2 linked regions of the Anolis sagrei genome follow. The main gene of each other region encodes a partner of the protein of the gene in region 2 in a complex. Links are inferred from orthologs where the notes say so. Each region holds a gene or a part of one and is shown on either strand. Other genes may lie near its edges.

Region 1 (11,952 bases), on a different chromosome or scaffold from region 2:
ATCTTATAATCTTATTGTTGATTTTGTTATTTGGTTATGATGTATTTTATGTGTTACATTGATTGCACATGTTCTTAAGTATTTATTTTACTGCATGTATTTTACCATACTTCACTTAATTTATGTTGTAAGCCACCTAGAATCCCCTGGGGAGACGGGGCGGGATAGAAATAAATGTTATTATTATTGTTAAAATAAATTGTTAGTTTTGAGGCTGACGTACTTTGGCCGTATCATGAAAAGAGATTACTCATAAGGAAATGAGGTAATGCTTGGTAAAATGGAAGCAAGTAGAAAAAAGACTGTATTCCAGATAGAGAGAACAAATCAGAGAAGCCACAGTCCTGAATCCGTAGGGCTGTTGATGAGAGGATGATTTAGAGGTCTCTTATTCACAGGATCCCCATAATTTGAAGTGGGCTTGACACCTAACAACAAATGCCATGAGGAATCAGACATTCACAGTAAGGAACCTTGGTGGTGCAATGGGTTACTCTTCTGCTGGCAGAACCTGAAGAGCGACAGGTCGGAGGTTCGCATCCGGGCAGAGCGCGGAGGTTCGAATCTGGGCAGATAAGCTCCGTCAGCTCAAGTCTTTACAGTATTGAGGTTCCTGTTCTTATTTACAACACATCACAGTACAATGTCAGTTCCTCCTTTCACAGCATATAAATGTACCGTTGACTCTCCACATTTGTGGGTTTCACCTTTGTGGATTTGATTAATATGTTTTATTTAGGAATCTCTAGGTCCTAGAGGGTTTTTAATTCAGTTTTTCCTCTTTTGCAGGGGTTCTGTCTCTAACCTCCATGAAAATGGGGGATTATTGTAATATATTAACTTCAATGGAGCAATGAAAATGTTCTGGCAGTGTGTTTTTTCTTGTTTAGCTGCTTTTAGCTTGGTGTGAATGTGTTTAATGAATTTAAAAAATAAGATAAAATAAGAAAAGGGGCAGAGAAAAAAGTAGGCTTACAAAGCAATTGCAGATGCTGAATTCAGAAACTACACATTTTTTTTCAAGAATTTACTAGTTGCTGTTTTTCATAAACCTATCACTAGATGGCATAGGAAGGATGTTATATTGTATTTTCCTGTAAAAACTCAGACAACATAGGCAAGACGCCTTACTTAGATTGAACAATATTCCCTACTACATTTCTCAAATAGTGTTTTGGCTAAAGAGGTATAGTAACTGTGGGCCTTTAAAGACATAGCCATGTTAATCTGGATCAGAACAGAAAGGGATCTTGTAACATTTTTCTTAAGACTTTTTTTTTTGTCGTGTCAGGAGCGACCTGAGAAACTGCAAGTTGCTTCTGGTGTGAGAGAATTGGCTGTCTGCAAGGATGTTGCCCAGGGGACGCCCGGATGATTTGATGTTTTATCATCCTTGTGGGAGGCTTCTCTCATGTCCCCGCATGGGGAGCTGGAGCTGATAGAGGGAGCTCATCCGCCTCTCTCCGGATTTGAACCTGTGACCTGTCAGTCTTCAGGCCTGCCGGCACAGGGGTTTAACCCACTGCGCCACAGCAGTCTTGAGACTAAATGACAGGGAAAAGATTGTCATGTAAGCTTTTGTAGACAGGGACTACTTACTCAGATGCACAGAATGAAGTGCTTGTTGACAAATATTTGTGCCCATGAAGGGGTAGTGTGTGTCTGTGTCATTACACTCTAACTATTCATAGATAGAAATGTCTATCCATAGACACTTCACTTAGGCCCCTTCCACACAGCTGAATAAAATCCCATATTATCTGCTTTGAACTGGGATACACGGCAGTGTGGACTCAGATATTCCAGTTCAAAGCAGATATTCTGGGGTTTTCTACCTTGATATTCTGGGTTATATGGCTGTGTGGAAGGGCCTTAGAGCATCTGATGAAAAACAATCCTACAAGCTTCTTTCTCTGAATTAGTTTCTAAGATGTTACAACAGTCCTTGTGCTGTTCCACTATCAAGCATGAAGTGTTTCAATGATATCAGGTCCATCCAAACCTGAAGGCAACTGGCCAAAGGAGCACACCAAAGTTTTGCTGGAAAACACTGTGATGACCAAAGCCTTATGTAGGGTAAGAGGCTTTCAAAAATGTGAGAGGTACACTGGACCCTTCACTCCAGAGAGTGGCCTCCATAATAAAAGATGTATTTCCTGCTACTCCTGAGCAAGCTGGACAGAAGTTGAAGTAATAATTAGAGTTGGGCAAGGAGGAGAAATGGTACACCAAAAAGAAAAGGAGAACATTAGGAGATAGCAGCGCATGAGCCAAAATTGTGGCACGTATGTACCAATGACTAGAGAGCACTTTATGCTCTCACAGTGTGAGACCAAGCAGGTGGGGCTAGACCTCTGCTTTGCTAACAGACCCAAATCTTATTTCATGGCAAACATTTTCAAAACTTTGAATAATTTCATTTTTATAATATGATGCCTGGGAATGGGGGACGCTTGACTCAACAGCAGTATGTGTGAAAAAGATCTTGGAGTCCTCATGGACAACAAGTTAAACATTAGCTAACAATGTCACACGGCAGTTAAAAAAAACAATGGGATTTTGGCCTGCATCAACAGGAGTCTAGTGTCTAGATCCAGGGAAGTCATTCTATCCCTCTCTTCTGCCTTGGTCAGACCACACCTGGAATCACACTATGTACAATTCTGAGCACTACAATTTAAGGGAGATGTTGACAAGCTGGAATGTGTCCAGAGGAGGGCGACTAAAATGATCAAGGGTCTGGAGAACAAGCCCTGTGAGAAGCGGCTTAAAGAGCTGGGCATATTTAGCCTACAAAAGAGAAGCCTGAGAGGAGACAATGATGGCCATGTACAAATATGTGAGAGGAAGTCATAAGTTGGAGGGAGCAGGCTGTTTTCTGCTGCCCTGGAGACTAGGGCGTGGAGCAATGACTTCAAATGACACGAAAGGAGATTCCACCTGAACATTAGGAAGAACTTCCTAACTGTTCACCAGTAGCACTCTCTGCCAAAGACGGTGGTGGAGGCTCCTTTTTGGGGGCTTTTAAACAGAGGCTGGATGGCCATCTGTCAGGGGTGTTTTGAATGTGACTTTCTTGGCAGGGGGTTGGACTGGATGGCCCACGAGGTCTCTTCCAAATCTATGTCAGCTGTCTGACATCATAGATCATACACTGTGGGCCTTCCATTGCTCTTCTCCTGCGATCCACTATTATCTGCCTTCCAGATCAGACATACAAGGTGTGCAGGGAGAGGAGAAAATTATCATTTCCAGTAGCAGACAACAAACATTTGTTGCAACTCATTATTTTTTTAAGCTCCAAGGCATTCCCATCAACCCAGAATACAATTAAGAATTTTTAAAAAGCAAATATTTTGATAAACCAAAGTAAGGATTAACTTGTAAATTTGAATCAACCAAGTATTCCAAATGTCCCGCTTTGCTACAAGTTCTTCTATACTAACGCATAAATGAAATCATCAATAAAAAGTACAGTTTGTTTTTAAAGTATCTTATGCCAAAATATGAGTATGGAAGGGTCCCAAGAAAACAGGTGGAGGCCTTATAACAGGAAAGGAAGAATTTACAAGATTTTGGAGGGAGGAAAGATGTGTTAAAGTGTGTACCTGATAGCTTCTTGTTCTGGCTGTATTTCTTACTTGGGTCTTCACTGTGCATGGGAGGATGTTCAATCTGATGAGCTGCCTCCATTGTAATGCTACCTGAAAGCAGCCACAGAAGTTCAGAATCAGGGTCAAATTCTCTTCTGGATTTACATGCAAGTTTTCAAGTCTAAACACACTGAAAGAAATTCGCTCCCTTCTCTCAGCACACTGTATAAAGGTTAGTTAGACAAGGCAGCAAAGTGGTCCATAGACGCGTGCTGATCCTCCAGCCCCTGGAGAGTTTCCAAGCAAGAAAAGACAAGAAAAGGAATCCCAGGTTGCAGGGGAGCGTTTGCACAATTAAAACTTGTGCGCCAGCTGCGCCTGTACCTTGGGAAGTCAGACTTGGCCACGGTGGTCCATGCTCTTGTTACGTCTAGAATAGACTACTGCAACACACTCTATGTGGGGTTGCCTTTGAAGACTGCTCGGAAGCTTCAAATAGTTCAACAAGAGGCAGCCAGGTTAATAACTGGGGCGGCATACAGGGAGCATACAACTCCCATGTTACGCCAACTTCACTGGCTGCCAGTTTGCTACCGGGCACAATTCAAAGTGCTGGCTTTGGCCTATAAAGCCCTAAACGGCCCTGGCCCAAATTACCTGTCCGAACGGATCTCCCCCTATGAACCATCACGGAGATTAAGATCCTCCGGGGAGGCCCTGCTTTTCGTCCCACCATTGTCACAGGCGCGATTGGTGGGGGCGAGAGACAGGGCCTTCTTGGTGATTGCTCCCCGGCTATGGAACTCCCTTCCTGGTGAGATCAGGTCGGCCCCCTCCCTCCTGTCCTTTAGAAGGATGGTAAAAACTTGGCTGTGGGACCAAGCTTTCGGGACAGGGCAATGAAGCGGCAATGGGAAAGATGACAGGGCCAATTGGATTTGATGCGGATAGCTAGGACGGTTTTAAATGGTGTTATTTTAAATAGTGTGTTTTAATATTTCGATAAATGTTTTTTAATGTTTATGTATTGTATCCAGGCCCTGAAAATTTGCCGTGTATATGCTGTGCTCTGCTCTGAGTCTCCTTCGGGGTGAGAAGGGCGGAATATAAATGTTTTAAATAAATAAATAAATAACTGTGGTCAATAGACACACAAATATGGTGTGAGGCTCTGTCGCTCTTGGGAGGGGGACTGGGCTTCAATAGAATGCAAGGCACAACAGGCACTGGCAAACTCTGGCTCTCCAGATGTTTTGGACTCCAACTCCCACAATTCCTAACAGCCTCAGGCCCCTTCCTTTCCTCCCATAAGCGGCTGAGGGGGAAAAGGAAAAGGTCTGAAGCTGTTAGGAATTGTGGGAGGTGGAGTCCAAAATACCTGGAAGGCCGAAGTTTGCCCATGCCTGATCTATAATGTAGAATTAAATTGAACTCCCATGTCTCAATGCTACCCAGTTCTGGGATTTGTAGTTTGGTGATGAAGCACTAGCACTCTTTGGCAGAGAAGATGTAGGTCTTTGTAAACTACAACTCCCTGATATATAATGTAGAATTAATAGTTTGGCACCACTTGAACACCCATATCTCAATGCTACCCAATTCTGGGATTTGTAGTTTGGTGATGAAGCACTAGCACTCTTTGGCAGAGAAGATTAGTCTTTGTAAACGACAACTCCCACAATTCCTTAGCACTGAGTCATAGTGGCGTCAGTAATGTCAAAATGGCTTAACTCTTCCCAAACGGGGCCTGGTGCCTTTAAGGCTTTGATTCCTAGAGCTATGAAGGACTGAGCCTTAAAACAAAGTGGGCCAAAAGTCAAAAAGGCCTTCGATGTTGTAACAACTTTCTCAAAAGTTGCTATATATACTCTGTATCGGGCATGTGCAAACTTCAGCCCTCCAGGTGTTTTGGACTTCAACTCTCACAATTCTTAACAGCCTACCGGCTGTTAGGAATTGTGGGAGTTGAAGTCCAAAACACCTGGAGGGCTGAAGTTTGCCCATGGCTGCTCGTTATGGTGCTAAATAGTATGGAACACTGAAAACAGAGGCCTCTGCTCAAGCGAGGAAGGGGAGGAGAGGCCCAGCAAAGTGCTTCTCGGGTCTCCACACCCCGCCACTCCGAGGGAGAGTTGTCCTGTCTTCTTCCCCCATCGTTCCTCTTCTTTGCTCGGCTTTTTTACTCACTTGATCGCCCGCTTCCTCACTCGGTGGCTTCCCTTTCTTTCAAACAACGGCGCCTCTCCGGCTGACTCTCCGCCTCCTTTGGCGCCAAAAAACCGCGCTGTCCGTCGCAACGGCGCCCCCTGTCGGCCGCGGAGGGAGGAGTCCGCCTTGTCAGCCGGCCAAAGACAAGCAAGGCCTCTTTCTCTCTCAGCCTCCTCCTCCTCCCTCCCACGCTCCAAATAAGGCCCTTCTACAAGGAAGTTTGTGAAGGAACTGCTTTCTGGGCTATAGAGACTTCACCCCAATGAGCATGTCAAGTCTTTAGAAGTGTAGATTACCATACAGCTCCGTTTTGAAACTAAAGGGATGATTTTTCCCATCTCCATCCCATTGCACAGTAGCAAATTATCTGTTTCTTTCAGGAGTTCTCAGTCTATTTGCCGTTCAACCCACTGTCCCTCCCCTGTTTTCTTTGTGAGAAACAACAACAAAACTTGCCATACATCAAGGGAACCACTGACCGCATAGGGAAACTGATGAGGAAACACAACATACAAACCACTTACAGACCCACCAAGAAAATCCAACAAATGCTACGTTCAGCAAAGGACAAGAGGGATCCTCTTACCTCTGCAGGAGTCTACCGTGTACCATGCAGCTGTGGACAAGTCTACATAGGGACCACCAAACGCAGCATTGCCCAAACACGAATCAAGGAACATGAAAGACACTGCAGACTACTTCAGCCAGAGAAGTCAGCCATAGCAGAGCACCTGATGAACCAACCTGGACACAGCATATTATTTGAGAACACAGAAATGCTGGACCACTCCAACAACCATCATGTCAGACTACACAGAGAAGCCATTGAAATCCACAAGCATGTGGACAATTTCAACAGAAAGGAGGAAACCATGAAGATGAATAAAATCTGGCTACCAGTATTACAAAACTCAAAAATTACAACAGCAAAACAACAGAGGGGAAACAAACAGGCACATAAAATCACTCTCAACAAGAGATTCCCCCCAGGCGCTTCCAGGCCATTGAATGCAAATCAAGGTGATCAGCTGAAACATTCACAGCTTGCCCCAGCAGACAGGGGTCCTTTGTCTCACCCTGGTCATTCCACAGATATATAAACCCATTTTCCTACTTCCAACAGACCTCACTACCTCTGAGGATGTTGCCATAGATGCAGGCGAAACGTCAGGAGAAAAATTGCCTCCAGAACATGGCCATATAGCCCGGAAAAACCTACAACAACCCAACAAAACTTTATTTATATACCGCTCTATCTCCCCAAGGGGACTCAGAGCGGTTTCCAAGTAACATAATCAATACATACAAAGAAAACAGTATAAACATAAAATTATGCCAAGACAATATGAGCCTTAAAAAACCACAATAGCACATATATTTAAAATAATTCTGCCTGTTCAAGGCAGTTTAAAAAGCCAGGCCAGGCTAGTGCGATTTTAGTGGGCCGAGGAAATTAGGTAGAGTCTATGGCTGTACATTTCCAGGGCCTAATAGAAGAAAGTGACCTGGGTAATTGGTAGAAAAAGATATGGCCACTTTCAACAGTGTCTGGGGCAGAGCTAGAACTAGTCGTTCTCAAAGGTTTGTTTAAACCACCAGGTCTTCAGGCTCTTACAAAAGGAGGGGGCAACGGGGCCTGTCTTATTTCTCCAGGAAGAGGGTTCCAGAGGCAGGGGGCCACCACTGAGAAGGCCCTCTCTCTCATCCCCACCAACCATGCTTGTGACAGTGGTGGGAGCGAATCGAGGGCCTCCCTGGAAGATCTTAAAGTTTGCATTGGTTCTAAGGCCCGTCGCAAACTCTGTTCCTGGGGAGAAAACCTTGCTAGCATGTCCCTGACGTCACGAGACTCCGCCTCTCTCCCCACCCCTTTCTCCGCCCCTTTCTCTTTGCCAGCGTGGTTTTTCCTTTGCTAGGGCAGCATTGCCCGCATTTTCTCTCAGTTGGCAGAATTCAACTGAGAGAAAATGCGGGCAATGCTGCCCTAGCAAAGGAAAAACCACGCTGGCAAAGAGAAAGGGGCGGAGAAAGGGGCGGGGAGAGAGGCTCAGGCTCATGACGTCAGGGACTTGCTAGCAAGGTTTTCTCCCGCAGGAACCTAGTTTGCGACGGCTCATAGAGGGAGATGCGATCACGAAGATAGGTGGGGCCCGAATTGTTTAGGGCTTTATAGGTCATAACCTGCACCTTGAATTTGGCTCGGCAACTTATTGGCAGTCAGTGAAGCTGTTTTAAAAGGGGCGTAGTATGCTCCCTATAGTTTGCTCCAGTAAGGAGCCTGGCTGCCACCCGTTGTACCAGTTAGAGTTTCCGGGCCATCTTCAAGGGCAGCCCCACATAGAGCGCATTGCAATAGTCCAATCTGAAACACCTCTAGAACATGGCCACACACCCCAAAAAATCTACCACAACCCAAGAAACATCTTTCCTGGACTATTATTTTTGTTCCTGGGTTATCAATGTCATTTCCTAATTGGTTCTATCATAAACACATGGGAAAAGTTTGTTAAACTGCAAAAACTTTTATTTTGCAGGAGGGACATCTTGCTAGAGCGGTGTTTCTCAACCTGGGGGTTGGGACCCCAGGGGTGGGGGTCGTGAGAGGGTGTCAAAGGGGTTGTCAAAGACCATCAGAAAATGCAGTATATTCTGTTGGTGATGGGTGTTCTGTGTTGGAAGTTTGGCCCAATTCTATCGTTGGTGGGATTTAGAATGCTCTTCGATTGTAGGCCTTGACATTTGGGAGTTGTAGTTGCTGGAATTTATAGTTCACCTACAATAAAAGAGCACTTTGAACCCAGTCCACAATGGATCTGCACCAAACTTGGCACACTACCTACATGGCCAACATTGAATACTGGTGGGGTTGGGGTTTGGGGGCTGTTTCTGAATTCTGGGAGTTGTCGGTCACCAATATCAAAAACGAATAGAAGGGCAGGTGGAGAGATCTTTAGCCTTCTCTGCCAAAAGGGTTTCTGAGACCATCAGAAATATGTATTTTCTAATGGTCTTTGGTGACCCCTCTGAAACCCCACTCATGACCCCCCCCCCCAAGGGGTCCTGACCCCCAGGTTGAGAAACGTTGTAGAGTTTCCACCCATTTAACATAGGCCCCTTCCACACAGCTGAATAAAATCCCACATCATCTGTTTTTGTGCAGGTACAACTGTACCAGGAGCTCCAATTCTGTTTGCTTTTGCATTAAATGTTTGTTTGCAATCCCAGGCTTGGGATTTTGCAGCAGGGTGCCTTCCTGTTATAGTTTGCAATCATAGGGCAAGCCACCTGTCAATTATCGTTAGGTTCCCTGGTCCCACCCCTTTTTGAGTTTTGGAGGGAATAGGAGCCTTTTTGAGTCAGTCCACACAGAGCAGCTTTCCATGCAGGACATAACTCCAAGAGCTCCTGTAGAAAGCTTCGTCTTCTACGGCTTGGCCGGGGAGATATATAGCCTACAGCTTGGCCGGGGAGAAAAGGCCCCACAGCTTGGCTGAGGATTTTACAGCCTTACAGCTCCTTTGCGGAGGGACTTCAGCCAGCCATCACAGCAACCTGAACTCCTTCTTTTCCCCTGGAAGTCTACAAAGCTCTGCTTGGTAAGGGTCGCTCACGGAAGCCAGACGCAGTTGGTACCGGGTGCAGGGGCTACACGCCAACAGAGGCAAGTACAAACTGCCCAGATTAGAAGTTAAGGATTTCCCCATTAGTTAATTACAGTTAAGAAGATAGTGCCTGTTCCCAGTGAACAAGATTGCAAGAGCCAATAGACTGTTAAGAAAGCTTTAAAGTACCTGTTTGTTTCCATCAATAAAGAACTTTGTTGGATTTACTTTAAGCAATCTAAAGACTCTGTTTGGGGGGATCTAAGGGCCTTTGATCTGAGGCAGCCCCAGCATCCCGTTGGGCACACAGAATGTATGTCCTGTCTACAATCTAATGCACAGGCCCACCGTGCGACAACACAGTTTTGAACTGGAATATATGGCAGTGTGGACTCAGATAACTCAGTTCAAAGCAGACCTTGTTGGATTTTATGGCTTGATATTCTGGGTTATGTGGCTGTGTGGAAGGGCCCAGAGTTTGGGTGCACAAAAACAAAGTTTCTGGAGAGCAACAACTACTTTCAAAGTAAGGACTACACAATTAAATAAGTAACACAGAGTAGGAACAACTTTTCTTTATTATTATTTTATTGTTGTTGTTATTATTATTATTATTCAGAGGCAGGATGGCCATCTGTCTGGGGTGCTTTAGCTACATCGCAGAAATAAGGGGGTTGGACTAGATGGCCCTTGGAGTCAACCAAAGGAGGGGGGAAGGAGGTGGTGTCTGGGGGCACTCCCTTCCTTCAGTGTTGGAAGAAGGAAGAAGGGAAAGAAGAAGAGGTCACACATGGCATACACAAGGCAGAAAAGGAAGGAAGGAAGGAAGGAAGAAGGAAGGCAAGCAGGCACCCAGAAAGTGCACCAGACAGAAAGGAACACAACATACTGCTGATCTTCCCTCCTCCATGAGCAAAAGGTAACGGTGGAGATTTTCCTCAAAGGGGAATATTGGAAGGGGCCTCATATTAACCAGTTCAAATTTGATAATCTGGGATCATATCCTGGGATACAGGATAGTGTAGATTCAGAAATAGGTCCCTTTTACACTGCCATATAAAATCCAGATTATCTGCTTTTAACTGGATTATAAGGCAGTGCAAACTCTTATTATCCAGTTCAAAGCAGATAATGTGGATAATGCTTTGATAATCTGGATTACTGTGCATGGCAGTGTAGAAGGGACCTGATTCAACAAAGTAAATTATGTGTCACTTTGCATTTACCATAGGTTTTGAGGCATGGTGATCAAAGGACAATTAGATTATACAATAATATGTTGTATTTAATATGCTGTATTTAATTATTCAGAATATTCATAATGCGTATCTTTTCTTTGTTGCAAATGTCTACTAGGTTACTTTGCATGACGTTTTATGAAAGAAAAGGGGATATATGGTAAATTATATGAAGTCAGTATTTGAATCTATTCCACTTTTTAGAATTTCTCTGCTCAATGCGGCTTAGTAAATAAAAGCGAAAATGTAATAATATTCCACGTTAGTCAAACAATAAATAGCAAACAACAACATTGAGGCCCCTTCCACGCAGCTGAATAAAATGTTATATGGCAGTGTGGACTCAGACAACCCAGTTCAAAGCAGATATTGTGGGACTTTCTGTCTTGATATTCAGGGTTATATGGCTGTGTGGAAAGGCCCTAAGTAACCTTAGATTAACTGGAACAGATAAAACCATTTAAAACACCCCAAAGTAGACTGGAATAAAAACATATAATTCATTCAGTGTTCCCTTAAATAGCCAAATGTTGCTTATAGCTACATACCCTTATGTTCAGTCATTCAGGTCATGACTTGAATAAAGTGTTCTTCTGAATTTCTAAAAATATGATATTGAAGACATTAAATCAGGTATAAAGAATTGTTACAATAGCTATGTGAATAATTGCTATGTGACAGCCTCCTGTTCCTTGCGCTCCTTGTCAACCCAACAATTTAAATAATAAGAATAATGGTGGGAAGATTCAGGGATATGCACACATGCAAATTCGGACCCCGATCTGATAAGGCTAAAAAAGGTTGAAGTGTTAGGCCAAAACTAATACACTGAATTTCAAAAGTGATAAATGTGAGGTATACATCTAAGCATGAAAAATGAAATCCACAAATATAGAATGGTTGGCGCCTGACTTGAAAGCAGTACATGTGAGAAGGAGATGGGGGTCTTAGTAGACCACAAGCTAAACTTGAACCTGTAAGTGTGATGCCGCAGCCAAAAAAAGCCAATGTAGTTCTAGGCTGCATCAAAAGCAAAAAAGATCAAAGGAAGTCGTACTATAGTGCAACTCTATTCTGGTTTAATCAGACCTCACTTGGAATACTATGTAGAGTTTTGGGCAGCACAGTTCAAGAAGGATATTGACTGGCTGGAATGTATCCAGAGAAGAACATCCAAGATGATTAAAAGTGCTATTCACAACTAAGGGCCCTTCCCCACAGCCCTATATCCCAAAATATCAAGGCAGAAAATCCCACAATATTTGCTTTGAACTGGGTTCTCTGAGTCCACACTCAGATAATGTGGGATTT
Region 2 (12,543 bases):
CAAGCGATTTCCGATTTAGGGAAACTCTTAAGTGAACCGATCACTCAGTGGCAAAATTTATTTAGAGGGTATCTTTTGTGTTACTGTGAGGTTGTGAAAGTGACATGTCTAAACGCAACTTATGGAATTCAGTGGACAAGCAAGATTCGAACTCTGGTATCCAGAGTGGCAATCTAAAATGCAGATCACTACATCATGCTGGCTTTCCCTTATATTAAATCAAGACCCCAGATCTATCTAAGCTGAGTACCATCACCACTAAGCTGAGCAGTGGTTGTTCTGTAGGGCTGAGATTAGAGGTGAATCAACACTGAAGGATTCAGAAGTCAGATCCATGTTATGACCAAGAGCCCTTATCAACTTGGTCAACTTCTGAACCTATCTAAGGATATTCTTCCTTTTGTGATGTCCAAAAAAAACAAAAACAAAAAATAAATGCAAGTTTGAACGGAGGTTCTCACAACAATATGAAAACATACACAGAGAAAACCCCTCACAGTGCATCTGGATTCACTCCATCCAACAAGGCAATTGAACTAGCACTGGAAATACATTCTCCTTGTTTATGTATGTATGTATGTATTTTATTTGCCGTATTTGTATACCACCTTTCTCTACCCTGAAGGGGACTCAAGGGGATTCACAGTCCATGGTTCAAACAAATTCTCCTTGGTATGCATGGTGATTGTGTAAACCACGAAGCATCGTGGACCATATTCCTGCCAGTGTAATTCAAAACTGACATCAGCAACATGTTTTTCCTCCATTGCTGATGTTGCTGTTTCCTCATGAATGCCTAACACTTGATCACCAGGAGATCCAGTACAACAATCAAAAGCTCCAAGCAGGCTCTCAGCAAAACAAAGACCTCATATCAGAAATGGAAAGCGAAAGTCAACAGGCGTGACAAAAATCATGGAAAACTGCTTAAGGATCATTTCAGCTGGATAAATATCCCAGCGAACTTTCTGTAGAGAAACTAAATCACCCTAACATACAACCTAATTCAGAAACATCTTAATTTTGCCATTTTATGTAAAGGTTGACAGTTCACCATGCCATAGTTTTCAGATTTTGGTATCCTCAAAGATACTGGAACAAAACTACAGGGATTTTGTGAAATCCCTGTATGCCTCCAGCTCCAATTCATTGCCTCATTTATGAGTAAATAATGAAAATTAGAGGCAAATTCATCAGTTGTGTATTTGCGGGCAGGGAAGAACAGGTTTTGTTACGAACAGTTCTCTTCTGAAAGGTCGAGGGCCTCAAACTTTTTGGAAAGTTTGAGTTACATTTTCTGTTGGGGAGGTTATGGGTGGAATTGGGGGTATTTAGCTTTTAAATGCAATTTTAAATGTATTTAAAATGAATTAGGTCTGCATAGTTAAAGCAATGGTATTCCCCATAGTAACCTATGGATTTGAGAGCTGGACAACAAGGAAGGCTGAGAAAAGGAAGATAGACAGTTTTTGAACTGTGGTGTTGGAGGAAAATTCTGAGAGTACCTTGGACCGCAAGATCAAAGCAGTCCATACTCCAGGAAATAATGCATGACTTGTTACTGGAGGGAAGGGTATTAGAGGCAAAGATGAAGTACTTTGGCCACATCATGATAAGACAGGAAACTCTTGGAGAAGATAATGATGCTGGGGAAAATGGAAAGAAAAGGGAAGAGGAGCCAACCAAGGGCAAGATGGGTGGATGTTATCCTTGAAGTGGAGCCCCTGGTAGCGCAGTGGATTAAACCCTTATGCCGGCAGGACTGATGACTGACAGGTTGGAAGCTCGAATCTGAAGAGAGCTCAATTGAGCTTCCTCTGTCAGCTCTAGCTCCCCATGTGGGGACATGAGAGAAACCTCCCACAAGGATGATAAAACATCAAAACATTCAGGCGTCCCATGGGCAACGTCCTTGCAGATGGCCAATTCTCTCAAACCAAAAGTGACTTTCTCAAGTCGCTCCTGACACGGGGAAAAAACCCCTTAAAGTGACTGGCTTGACCTTGAAGGAACTGCGGTGGCCAAGGCCGACAGGGAGCTCTGGCGTGGGCTAGTCAACTGAACAAATAAACAACAACAACAAAATCTGCCTTGATATTCTGCATTATATGGCTGTGTGGAAGGGACCCAAGTTTCCCATCAGATGTCTTTAATAGCTGTGGGCCCTTCCACGCAGCCATACAACCCAGAATATCAAGGCAGAAAATCCCACAATATCTGCTTTGAACTGGGGCCCCTTCCACACAGCTGAATAAAATCCCACACTATCTGTTTTGAACTGGGATATATGGCAGTGTGGATTCAGATATCCCAGTTCAAAGCAGATAATGTGGGATTTTATTCAGCTGTGTGGAAGGGGCCCCAGTTCAATCAGCAGGGAAGAACTGGGAGTCCATACTGCCATAGAATCCAGTGGCACAGCTAGTTAGTAGCCAGCTGCATTAAATCACCACTGACCGATAGGTCATGAGTTCAAAGCCAGCCTGGGTCAGAGTAAGCTCCTGACCATTAATAGTCTAGCTTGCTGTCAACCTATGCAGCCCGAAAGACAGTTGTAGCTGTCAAGGAGGAATTTAGGAGGCCAATTTAACTAATTTGCAATGCCATAATATCTTCCAGCAGTGTGCGTAAGAATGAGGACGAACTCCATCAAAGGAACACAAGTGGATGGTGAAGTGGCTAGAATCGAACATACCCTCATGAAGCCAGAAAGCTGGAATGTTAAATTGCCTCTATGTCTGTGTATATATGTAGTCTGGCTAAATGACATTGAATGTTTGCCATGTATATGTGAATTGTAATCTGCCCTGAGTCCCCTGCGGGGTGAAAAGGGCAGAATATAAATATTGGAAATAATAATAATAATAATAATAATGATGATGTGTGGTTTGATACAGAACCAAGAACCTGCTTTAATTGAAATCAATAATCGGAAACTTCTCAAAGCACAGCAGACATAGAGTCAGTACAAGATAACTGCACTCCAAACCAGAGCTGACAGCTGGCACAATAAAGCCTTGGATGGGCAGTTCCTTGAGAAGATTGAAGGAAAAGTTGTCAAGGAGAAGACCTGGTTATGGCTCATGAATGGAACACTGAAGAAGGAGACGGAAGGCCCAATTCTTGCAGCCCAGGAGCAAGCCATCAGAAGCAATGCAATTAAGGCCAGGGTTGGAAAAAAAAAACCAGATTACCCAAAAAGCTGATGAAACCTCAGCTGTTACAAGAAAATCACACAGACTATAAACAAAGACACAACTCTGTGGCCCAGATGATTCACCAGAACTTATGTCACAAGTACCACCTGCCAGCAATAAAGAATTGGTGGGATCATAAACCCGCAAAGGTCATGGAAAATGAACATGCAAAAATACTGTGGGACTTTCAAATCCAGACTGACAAAGTTTTGGAACACAATGCACCAGACATCATGATTGTGGAAAAGAAAAAAGTCTGGATTATTGATGTCGCCATACCAGATGACCGTCGCATTGAGGAAAAACAACAGGAAAACCTCTATCAAGACCTCAAAATCAAACTGCAAAGGCTTTGGCATAATTCAGTACAGGTGGTCCCAGTGGTCATCGGAACACTGAGTGCCGTGCCAAAAGATCTGAGCCAGCATTTGGAAACAATAAACATTGACAAAATCACGATCTGTCAGCTGCAAAAGGCCACCTTACTTGGATCTGTGCACATCATTCGAAAATAAATCACACAGTCCTAGACGCTTGGGAAGTGTTAGACTTGTGATTTTGTGATACGAAATCCAGCATACAGATCTCGTTTGCTGTGACATACTGTGCTTTTGTGTCAGTACGTGCTTCTCCAGTGCCTGTTTTATAGAGACATTCGATCTCATCTCATCTTACCATGTACAATTAAATATCCAGGATGCTCTGGACAATTCTATGTAGATCTGCTGATCTCAGACACAAACTCGGCTGTGACGTACAACATCGCTAAGTTCTGCACGGCTGCAATTAAAATTCGGCGGACGATGATTGAGGGTTAAAAGACCTAAGCTTCTCCTCTGGAATATAGATGAGAAATCAGATATAGTCTGATATTATAGAGTTGGATATTCCCCCACTCCCTGGTGCCATCCCCACTACCTCTCTTTAGACTGCGTTGGATGAACTTGTGGGTTAAGTTAGGTTTTAATAACTATTATTATTATTATTATTAACTTTATTTGTACCCTGCTAGCATCTCCCGAAGGACTCAATGCGGCTTACAAAGGCCAAGGCCTCAAAACACAACATAACAATACAACACCTAAAGCAAATTAAAAACAATTAAAGCAAATATTAAACAACAAGCAATAAACAATACATCAAGACACTATAAAACTGGGCCGGGCCAGAGTAATGGGTACAGGATTAAAAGTGCTGATGTGACAGGTGATATGTAAGGATTATAGGGTAAGTTAAGTGCAGTGTGCAGCAATCTTAGTTCTGGGACTTGTTATTGGAGGTTCCTATTCTGGAAAGGCACATCGGAACAGCCAGGTTTTCAAGTTCTTTCTAAAGACTGCCAATGTAGGGGCCTATCTAAGATCTTTTGGGAGTGTGTTCCAGAGTCGGGGGGCCACCACAGAAAAGGCCCTGTCTCGCGTCCCCACCAAACACGGCTACGACGCTGGCGGGATCACGAGCAGGGCCTCTCCGGATGACTGAAGTGAGCGCGTGGGTTCGTAAACGGAGATACGGTCACGCAGGTAGGATGGTCCCAAACCGTTTAGGGCTTTGTAGGTAAGCACCTGCACCTTAAATTGGGCTCAGAAAATAAACGGCAGCCAGTGGAACTCCTTGAACCTCTCTCTGTAATGAGCCCCAGTTAACATCCTGGCTGCTGCCCGTTGGACCAGTATTGGTTTTTAGTTTCGATTTTAAAATTTGTTGAAGTTTAAAGTGTACAACCCCTTGGGTTTGATGTGAATGTACGGGACTGGGTCCCCATGTTGTGATCTGGTCTTCGACCGTAATAAACTTTACTACTACTTTGTGTCGGTAACATAATAATAGTAATGTGTGGTTTGATACAGCTGTGTGGAAGGGGATATTGAATAGCAGAAAGGAAGGAAGGAAGGAAGGAAGGAAGGCCCCAACCACACTTACAGGGGAACTGTCCTTTGCTGCTGCTTTTCAAACCACTTGGTTTCATTTTTCCTGGGAAGTCACATCTTCTTCTCGGCCCACTTCCCTGCGACGGTTAGTTGCGACCTGAAAGGAAAAGGAAAGAGATTCTCATGAACACACTTGAGAAGGCTTGAATATGGGGGAGAGGATTGAAGAAGAATGAAATACTCAGTGGGGGGAGGCGGGGTGTCCATTTAAAGAACGGGGCAACTTCTCTGCCGCCGCCGCCGCCTCCAAGCCCTGCTGCGCCCCCCCCCCTCAGGCCTCCGCCCCGCCCCGGGCCTTACGTTGCCTTCTCCCCGGGGGCAGCGCCTGGTGTGAGGCGCCCGTTCCAGCCCCGCGCTTCCCGGCGGCGGCGGAGGGGCGGTTGGCGTTTGAAAGCGGCGTCACCTCAGCCTCATGGCGCCGCCGCCGCTGCCGCTGAGGGGATTCTGCTCCGCCGCTCGGCCATTCGGCGCCTCGCCTTTCCCGCCTCGCTCGGGCTGGGCCTACCAGCAGCCTCCGAGGCGGGGCCTGGCGCTCTGGTTGGGCTGAATTCAAGGCCCAGGAGGAGGAGGAGGAGGAGGGCGGCGAGGAAGAGGAGGAGCCTCGCCTCTCAGAGGCCTCCTCGCCCGGCTCCTCTCCCTCTCAGTTGCCCAGGTAACCCTTCTCTTGGCCGCCCCTGAAGTGGAGGAATCCCTCATATCCAAAATGCTCCAGTAATGTTTGGGACTTGGGATACACTTGGGATGTTGGCATGTTTACCTGTATATGAGCATATACAGCAGGCCTTGGCAAACTTGGGCCCTCCCACAATGCCTGGTGTGTATGGTGCCCATGAAAGATTAATTTTATTGATTTATTTACTTTATTTGTATACCGCAGTTTCTCAGCTCATAGGCGACTCAACGCGGTTAACAACAAGAGCAAAAATTCAGTGCTAACAACATAGGTAAAGGTAAAGGTAGTCCCCTGACATTAAGTCCAGTCATGTCTGACTCTGGGGTGTGGTGCTCATCTCCATTTCTAAGCCGTTGTCCGTAGACACCTCCAAGGTCATGTGGCCGGCATGACTGCATGGAGCGCCATTACCTTCCCGCCGGAGCGGTACCTATTGATCTACTTACATTTGCATGTTTTCGAACTGCTAGGTTGGCAGAAGCTAGGGCTGACAGCGGAAGCTCACGCCGCTCCCCGGAATCGAACCTGCGACCTTTCGATCAACAAGCTCAGCAGCTCAGTGCTTTAACCCACTGCGTCACCGGGGGCTCTAACAACATACACTATTTAAAAACAATTAACACCGTAGTATACTAAATGATTAACATCAATAAACAACACATTAACATCTCGTAACTAGAATCGTGATCCAACTCGTCATCCGTAATTCCGTTTTCCTATATTCATTGCACTGCTTCTCCGAACGCCTGTTCAAATAGCCAGGTTTTCAGTTTTCTTCGAAACACCATTAACGAGGGGGCTGATCTAATGTCCATGGGAAGGGCGTTCCACAGCCGAGGGGCCACCACTGAGAAGGCCCTGTCCCTCGTCCCCGCCAAACGTGCCTGTGATGCAGGCGGGATCGAGAGCAGGGCCTCCCCAGAGGATCTTAAAGTCCTGGTGGGTTCATAGGCAGAGATACATAATGAATGTATTGTTTACACTTGGGTTTCATCTCCAAGGTTATATGTAGCATAGATATGCTAATGTGTGTGTGTGTGATGTCTATAAAATATTTATTTATTTATTTACAACTTTTATATTCCGCCCTTCTCACCCCGCAGGGGACTCAGGGCGGATTACAGTGTACACATATATGGCAAACATTCAATGCCAATTTTTGACATACAAACATATACAGACATACACAGAGTAGTAGCAGTAGTAATTTTATTGATTAGCCATTAGGCTATATCACAATAAGAAACAGAACAACAAGGCCTGACAAGACCTGATCACACTCCACGTAGAAAGTTAAAATAAGACACTTATAATAATACAGTAAATACATATGATAAGACATGATAAAACTGATCAAGCTGAGTATATACATCATATTTCATTATCACCCCTACAATTTACCCCAATCAGCCCTACATATGTGGTTCTCAGACGTATTGTTTTGCCTAAGTACAGAGCTGTTTTATATGTTATTTCTGGGTCTTGGCCACACATAAAATATGTTGTTCTGATGTGAGAATCCCAATACATTGTCCGTTTGATATATGGACCAAGGTGGAAGTCTCTCACCTTTTGATACAATTTGCAATCAAAAAATATGTGTGCTATATCCTCAATTTCAGGTGTCCCGCAGATACAACTTCGTTCATTATAAGGGATGCTGTTAAATCTCCTGTATCTAACCATTGTCTCGAGCTGATCAAATCTGGCTCGAGTGATGTTTTGGTATTTGCATTTTTAGGTAGTTAGCAGTTTGAAAGGTACGTTTATATTGACTCAGACATACACAGAGGCTATTTAACTTTTTTTCTGGCCGCCAGGGGAGCTGTCGCTTTCATCGTCCATCTGCGACGCTGATGAAGCACTTCCGCATTCCCTGCATGCTTCCCCGCTGGAATGCTTTGCTGGAGTCTTCTTTATGGCCTCATAAATCAGTTAATTTAGCCTCCCCACACTTTAAGGTGGTACCTAATTTTCCTACTTGACAGATGCAACTGTCTTTCGAGTTGCAAAGGTCGACAACAGGCTACACACAATTGGTTGGAAACCCACTCCAACCCGGGCTGGCTTCGAACTCATGACCTTTTGGTCAGAGTGATCTTAATGCAGCTGACACTCAGCCAGCTGTGCCACAATCCCGGTCTAGTATTTAGACCTGAATGTATAATTAACACTTGAGTTTCATCTCCAAGGTTTTGTATAGCATATATATGGCAATGTATCTATATGTGTGTATGGTGTCTATGAAAGATAGATTTATGTAATATTTAGACCTGAATGTATTGTTTACACTTGAGTTTCATCTCCAAGGATGGATAGATAGATAGATAGATAGATAGATAATATCTATATGGCAATGTATCTGTGTGTGGTGTCTATGAAAGATACATTAATGTAGTATTTAGACCTGGATCTCATTTCAAGGTATCTCACAAGATATATATCTGGCCTGGGCAAACTTGGGCCCTCCAGGTGTTCTGGACTTTCAACACCCACAATGCCTGGTGTGTATGGTGTCTATCAGAGATAAATGAATGTATTGTTTATACTTGGACTTCATCTCTCTCTCTCTCTCTCTCTCTCTCTCTATATATATATATATATCGCTATGTATCTATGTGTAGGTCCCCTGGCGGCACAGTAGGTTAAACCACTGCACTGCTGAACTTGCTAACCGAAAGGTCAGAGGTTCGAATCCGGAGAGCAGGGTGAGCTTCAGCTATTAGGCCCAGTTTCTGCCAACCTAGCAGTTCAAAACATGCAAATTTGAGTAGATCAATAGGTACCACTCTGGCAGGAAGGTAACAGCACTTCATGCAGTCATGCAGGCCACATGAGCTTGGAAGCATCTACGGACAACACTGGCTCTTCAGCTTAGAAATGGAGATGAGCTCCAGGCCCCAAAGTTGGACACGACTAGACTTAATGTCAAGGGCAAACTTTTCACTACAGCCAGGAAATCAGTAGGAGAGCAGTGGCCAATCTCAATAAAATAAAAGGACAGACTGTATTCTCTATCTCTTGATATTATGGGATACGCTTGATTTTTCTTGGGCCGTTTTTATACACAATGAGAATAATCATTAGGTTGAGAAAGTAACTCATATTCAGATGTTTCAGAGAGAACTTTTCCTTTCAAATTCACCTAAATGAGTGATAAACCATTTAGGTGGGGAGTGTACAGACACATATGTGTGTATATTTATTTATTTATTTTCAGTATTTCTATCCCACCCTTCTCAACTCCCGAGGGGGGATTCAGGGCGGCTTACAAATGGCTTATGTGTATGTATACATAGATTCCAAGTTAATCAGCACTTAAGGAGTATTGGCAGATGCCTAATAAATGTAGTTTCTGGTTGTCTGAGAGTTACTGTTAAAATAAACCTAATTAATACTGTACCCCATACTATATCACACCAAAAACTCTGTATTGACTTGTTAATATTGAAGTACCGTAATTGAATGCAAAGAGAGAAACCTAACTAATTTAACACAGCTTCACTGTTCTATAAAAAAGCTTTGTGAATGCAGTATGCAAATTTTGTGAAATGGTAGCCAGTAAACTTTTGCTGGTTGCTTGATAATTTCATTTGCTTGAATTCCAATTAATAGAGTCTACACAAACACACACACACATATATATATATTGATTTTTTTTAATCAGGTTATGCTTCTCAAGGAATAAATTATGGGTTCTGAAGAGAAAGAAGATGGATTATACAGCATTACAACGTCTCAGCAAGCAGTCTGTTCTTGTTGTGGTGCTCTTATTACTTCAGTTTTGGGTAAGAAAAGACAATTGAGGTCACTTAGCACACTGTTAATATGTCAGTGTTATTTTTAACAGGCATATTCTAAAAATGAGATAATGATCCTATTATAGGCATGTCCCACTGGGTTCAGTAGAGCTTTCTCTCCAGCAAATGTGTTTAGGATTGTAACCCAGTAGTCACAAATAGATATTGAGATACTCCTCACTGGAAGGGTAAGATGGCCACGGAAATCTGAAAATATCCCGTGAAGCCAGTGCTAAGACAGCAGCCAAAAAGGGACAAGTAATGGAAGATACAACAACTGGAAGCCACAGTGTCCCTTATTAGGAAAGAAAATACAAACTGGACACCAAATAATACAAACATTGAATTAGCCTGATTTTTTAAACACCAGGAAGTGTGATGAGCAATAATCTGTAGTTTGCAGAGATTTGCAAAATGCCTTTTAATCCATCCCCTGTGGGGATTTTCACTTTGTGCATTGTTAATAATGGTGAATCCTCTTTAAGTCAAATGAAAAATAAAAACCTCTCATGATTCAAGATTAGAAACAAATAGGTTGGAAACTATATTTGTGCCTTACTCCATTTGTATTCTGATTCCTAGCAAATATAATTGTACTTTCATAATAAATCCAAAGCCTATTACATCGAGACTCACGGCATTAGAGAAGGACTTTGTAGGCCATCTCTTCTAATCCCCTACTTAGTATAGGAAATCCTGAATGGAACATACCCAGCAAGCTTAACAACCTTGAGCAAGGGATAGTCTTTCTTCCAAGTCCCATTCTCAAAATATTTGTACAATCAAGAGGCATCTCAGGTTCCACTAACATTTATTCCCCTATACTTAAAGCCCATTCTATCTGGGCACCACAATTTAAGGGAGATGTTGACAAGCTGGAATGTGTCCAGAGGAGTGTGACTAAAATGATCAAGGGTCTGGAGAACAAGCCCTATGAGGAGCAGCTTAAAGAGCTGGGCATGTTTAGCCTGCAGAAGAGAAGGCTGGAAGGAGACATTATGAGGGCCACGTATAAAATATGAGAGGAGAAGTCATAGGGAGGAGGGAGCAAGCTTCTTTTCTGCTGCCCTGGCTCCAAACTACAGGAAAGGAGATTCCACCTGAACATTAGGAATAACTTCCTAACTGTGAGAGCTGTTCAGCAGTGGAACTCTCTGCCCTGGAGTGTGGTGGAGGCTCCTTTTTTGAAGGCTTTTAGACAGAGGCTGGATGGCCATCTGTCAGGGGTGCTTTGAATACCATTTTCCTGCTTTTTGGTAGGAGGTTGGACTGGATGGCCCACGAGGTCTCTTCCAACTCTGTGATTCTATATGATTCTAATTTTACCTTCTGGAGCACAAATGAACACATTATTATGTGTGTTGTTTTTTAAAACTTTTGCTCTTGAAACCATTGACCACATTTAGAGTGTTTAGAATGTTTTCCATTTGATGGTTTGTTTGTTTGCCTTAGTGACACCCCTAGATGTTGTCAAAGTTCGGATGCAAGTCCAGATGAATCCGTCTCTCAAAGGTAAATCTATAGCTCTACATTTGTGGTATGGGAAGGAGGAAGATGCTTGTTCTTCCATGTGTTTTGGTAATATATGTCAGTGTTAGTATGAGGGGAAGGATGGGAGCTTTACTGCACTCGAGTCTATGAGCAGTGAAATGTGATATTGAGTTAATAGCTTTTAAAACCATTAATAGTAACAATTTATCTATGGTGCAGTGGGTTAAACCACTGAGCTGCTGAACTTGCTGACCGAAAGGTTGCCGGTTGAAATCCGGGGAGTGGGGTGAGCTTCTGCTGTTAGCCCCAGCCTCTGCCAACCTAGCAGTTCGAAAACATGCAAATGTGATTAGATCAATAGGTACTGCTCCGGCTGGAAGGTAACGGTGCTCCATGCAGACATGCCAGCCACATAACCTTGGAGGTGTCTACGGACAACGCCGGCTCTTCGACTTAGAAATGGAAATGAGCACCAACCCCGAGAATCAGACACAACTGGACTTAATGTCAGGGATAACCTCTACCTATCTAGTTTTGCATTTGTAATATTGTTAATTTAGAAGGAAAAGACACACGTTTTAAAGAGCTTAAAGTGACAAAAATAAATAAGAAATTACACTTTATTCCAGGTTTCTTCCACTCATCTTTAAAAGAATCACAGTTTATTTTTCACCTTTTTTTAAAACAGGAAAGTCATTTTTAGATTCTGATGGCTTGACCGATCATGTTTATCTCTATGAAAACGGAAGTGGCAAAACTTGGCAAAGGACAGCTGGCCGTTTTAATGGCATGATGGTAAGGAGAAAAGCATATCCAATCCAAAGAATATTGGCCCTTAAAACTCAACAAACTATTGCCCAGTTTTTATTTTAAAATGCTGTTATGTAAATTCAGAGTGGTTTTTATTTCACAATAATGAGAATCATAATTTAAGTCCCCTTACATTTTTTAAATATTTCCTCTTTTCAAAGGAGCAAATCATAAAACTTCTTATGATAAAAGTGGACTTATGCACAAGGGAATAAGAGCAAGAAACAAGTGCACAATTAGCCAATAGTACATTTCCGACCAACTAAAATTCCACAACAATTCCACCAACCACTTAATTGCGCTAAATTGTTCCAAGAACGAGAAGAGACAGAAATAGAGAAATGTTATAGTCAGGAACATTGAAGTTAAACCCATTTCCAAAATGGATATTGGATACTAGATTAGTCTCTGGTAGTCATGTAAGCATCAGATTTAACCTAGCAATGTATTTTACATGAAGGGGCAACAATGAGTATCATTTTTGAAAACACCAAGATTCTTTACCTTTCATGTCACTATGCTAGTGACTGTGTAATACTTATGATTCATTTAGTACGTCACCTTTAAAGGAGAAGGATTTCATTTTAAGGCCTTTGTATATTTTTTTAGAAGATTATAGTATTTTTGTGTGAAATTTTATT

What was found.
Region 1: the proteins of DBF4 (region 2) and CDC7 are in contact, whole or in part, in a crystal structure (PDB 6YA8), measured with the Homo sapiens proteins. The link is inferred for Anolis sagrei from reciprocal best matches to the Homo sapiens genes DBF4 and CDC7. Residues at the interface, in NP_006707.1 of Homo sapiens: Thr210, Arg211, Thr212, Gly213, Arg214, Leu215, Lys217, Pro218, Phe219, Val220, Lys221, Val222, Glu223, Asp224, Met225, Ser226, Gln227, Leu228, Tyr229, Arg230, Pro231, Phe232, Tyr233, Leu234, Leu236, Met239, Pro240, Ile242, Asn243, Tyr244; in NP_001127891.1 of Homo sapiens: Asn56, Val57, Phe58, Ala77, Gln78, Leu79, Gln80, Ile87, Ile93, Pro94, Thr95, Ser96, His97, Pro98, Ile99, Arg100, Ile101, Ala102, Leu105, Gln106, Thr109, Lys121, Tyr122, Cys123, Phe124, Arg125, Asn127, Asp128, Val130, Leu143.

Annotation. Positions count from the first base shown.
Region 1 is NC_090024.1:150,719,042-150,730,993, forward strand, and holds the start of CDC7 (cell division cycle 7-related protein kinase), read right to left. Parts: upstream 5,890-11,952; 5' UTR 5,781-5,889; intron 3,705-5,780; 5' UTR 3,694-3,704; coding exon 3,609-3,693; intron 1-3,608. UniProt on the Homo sapiens protein: Kinase involved in initiation of DNA replication. Phosphorylates critical substrates that regulate the G1/S phase transition and initiation of DNA replication, such as MCM proteins and CLASPIN.
Region 2 is NC_090026.1:104,608,937-104,621,479, forward strand, and holds the start of DBF4 (protein DBF4 homolog A), read right to left. Parts: upstream 5,594-12,543; 5' UTR 5,429-5,593; intron 5,226-5,428; 5' UTR 5,167-5,225; coding exon 5,121-5,166; intron 1-5,120. Other genes in the region: mitochondrial glutathione transporter SLC25A40, read left to right, coding at 9,493-9,589, 11,054-11,113, 11,781-11,887. UniProt on the Homo sapiens protein: Regulatory subunit for CDC7 which activates its kinase activity thereby playing a central role in DNA replication and cell proliferation. Required for progression of S phase.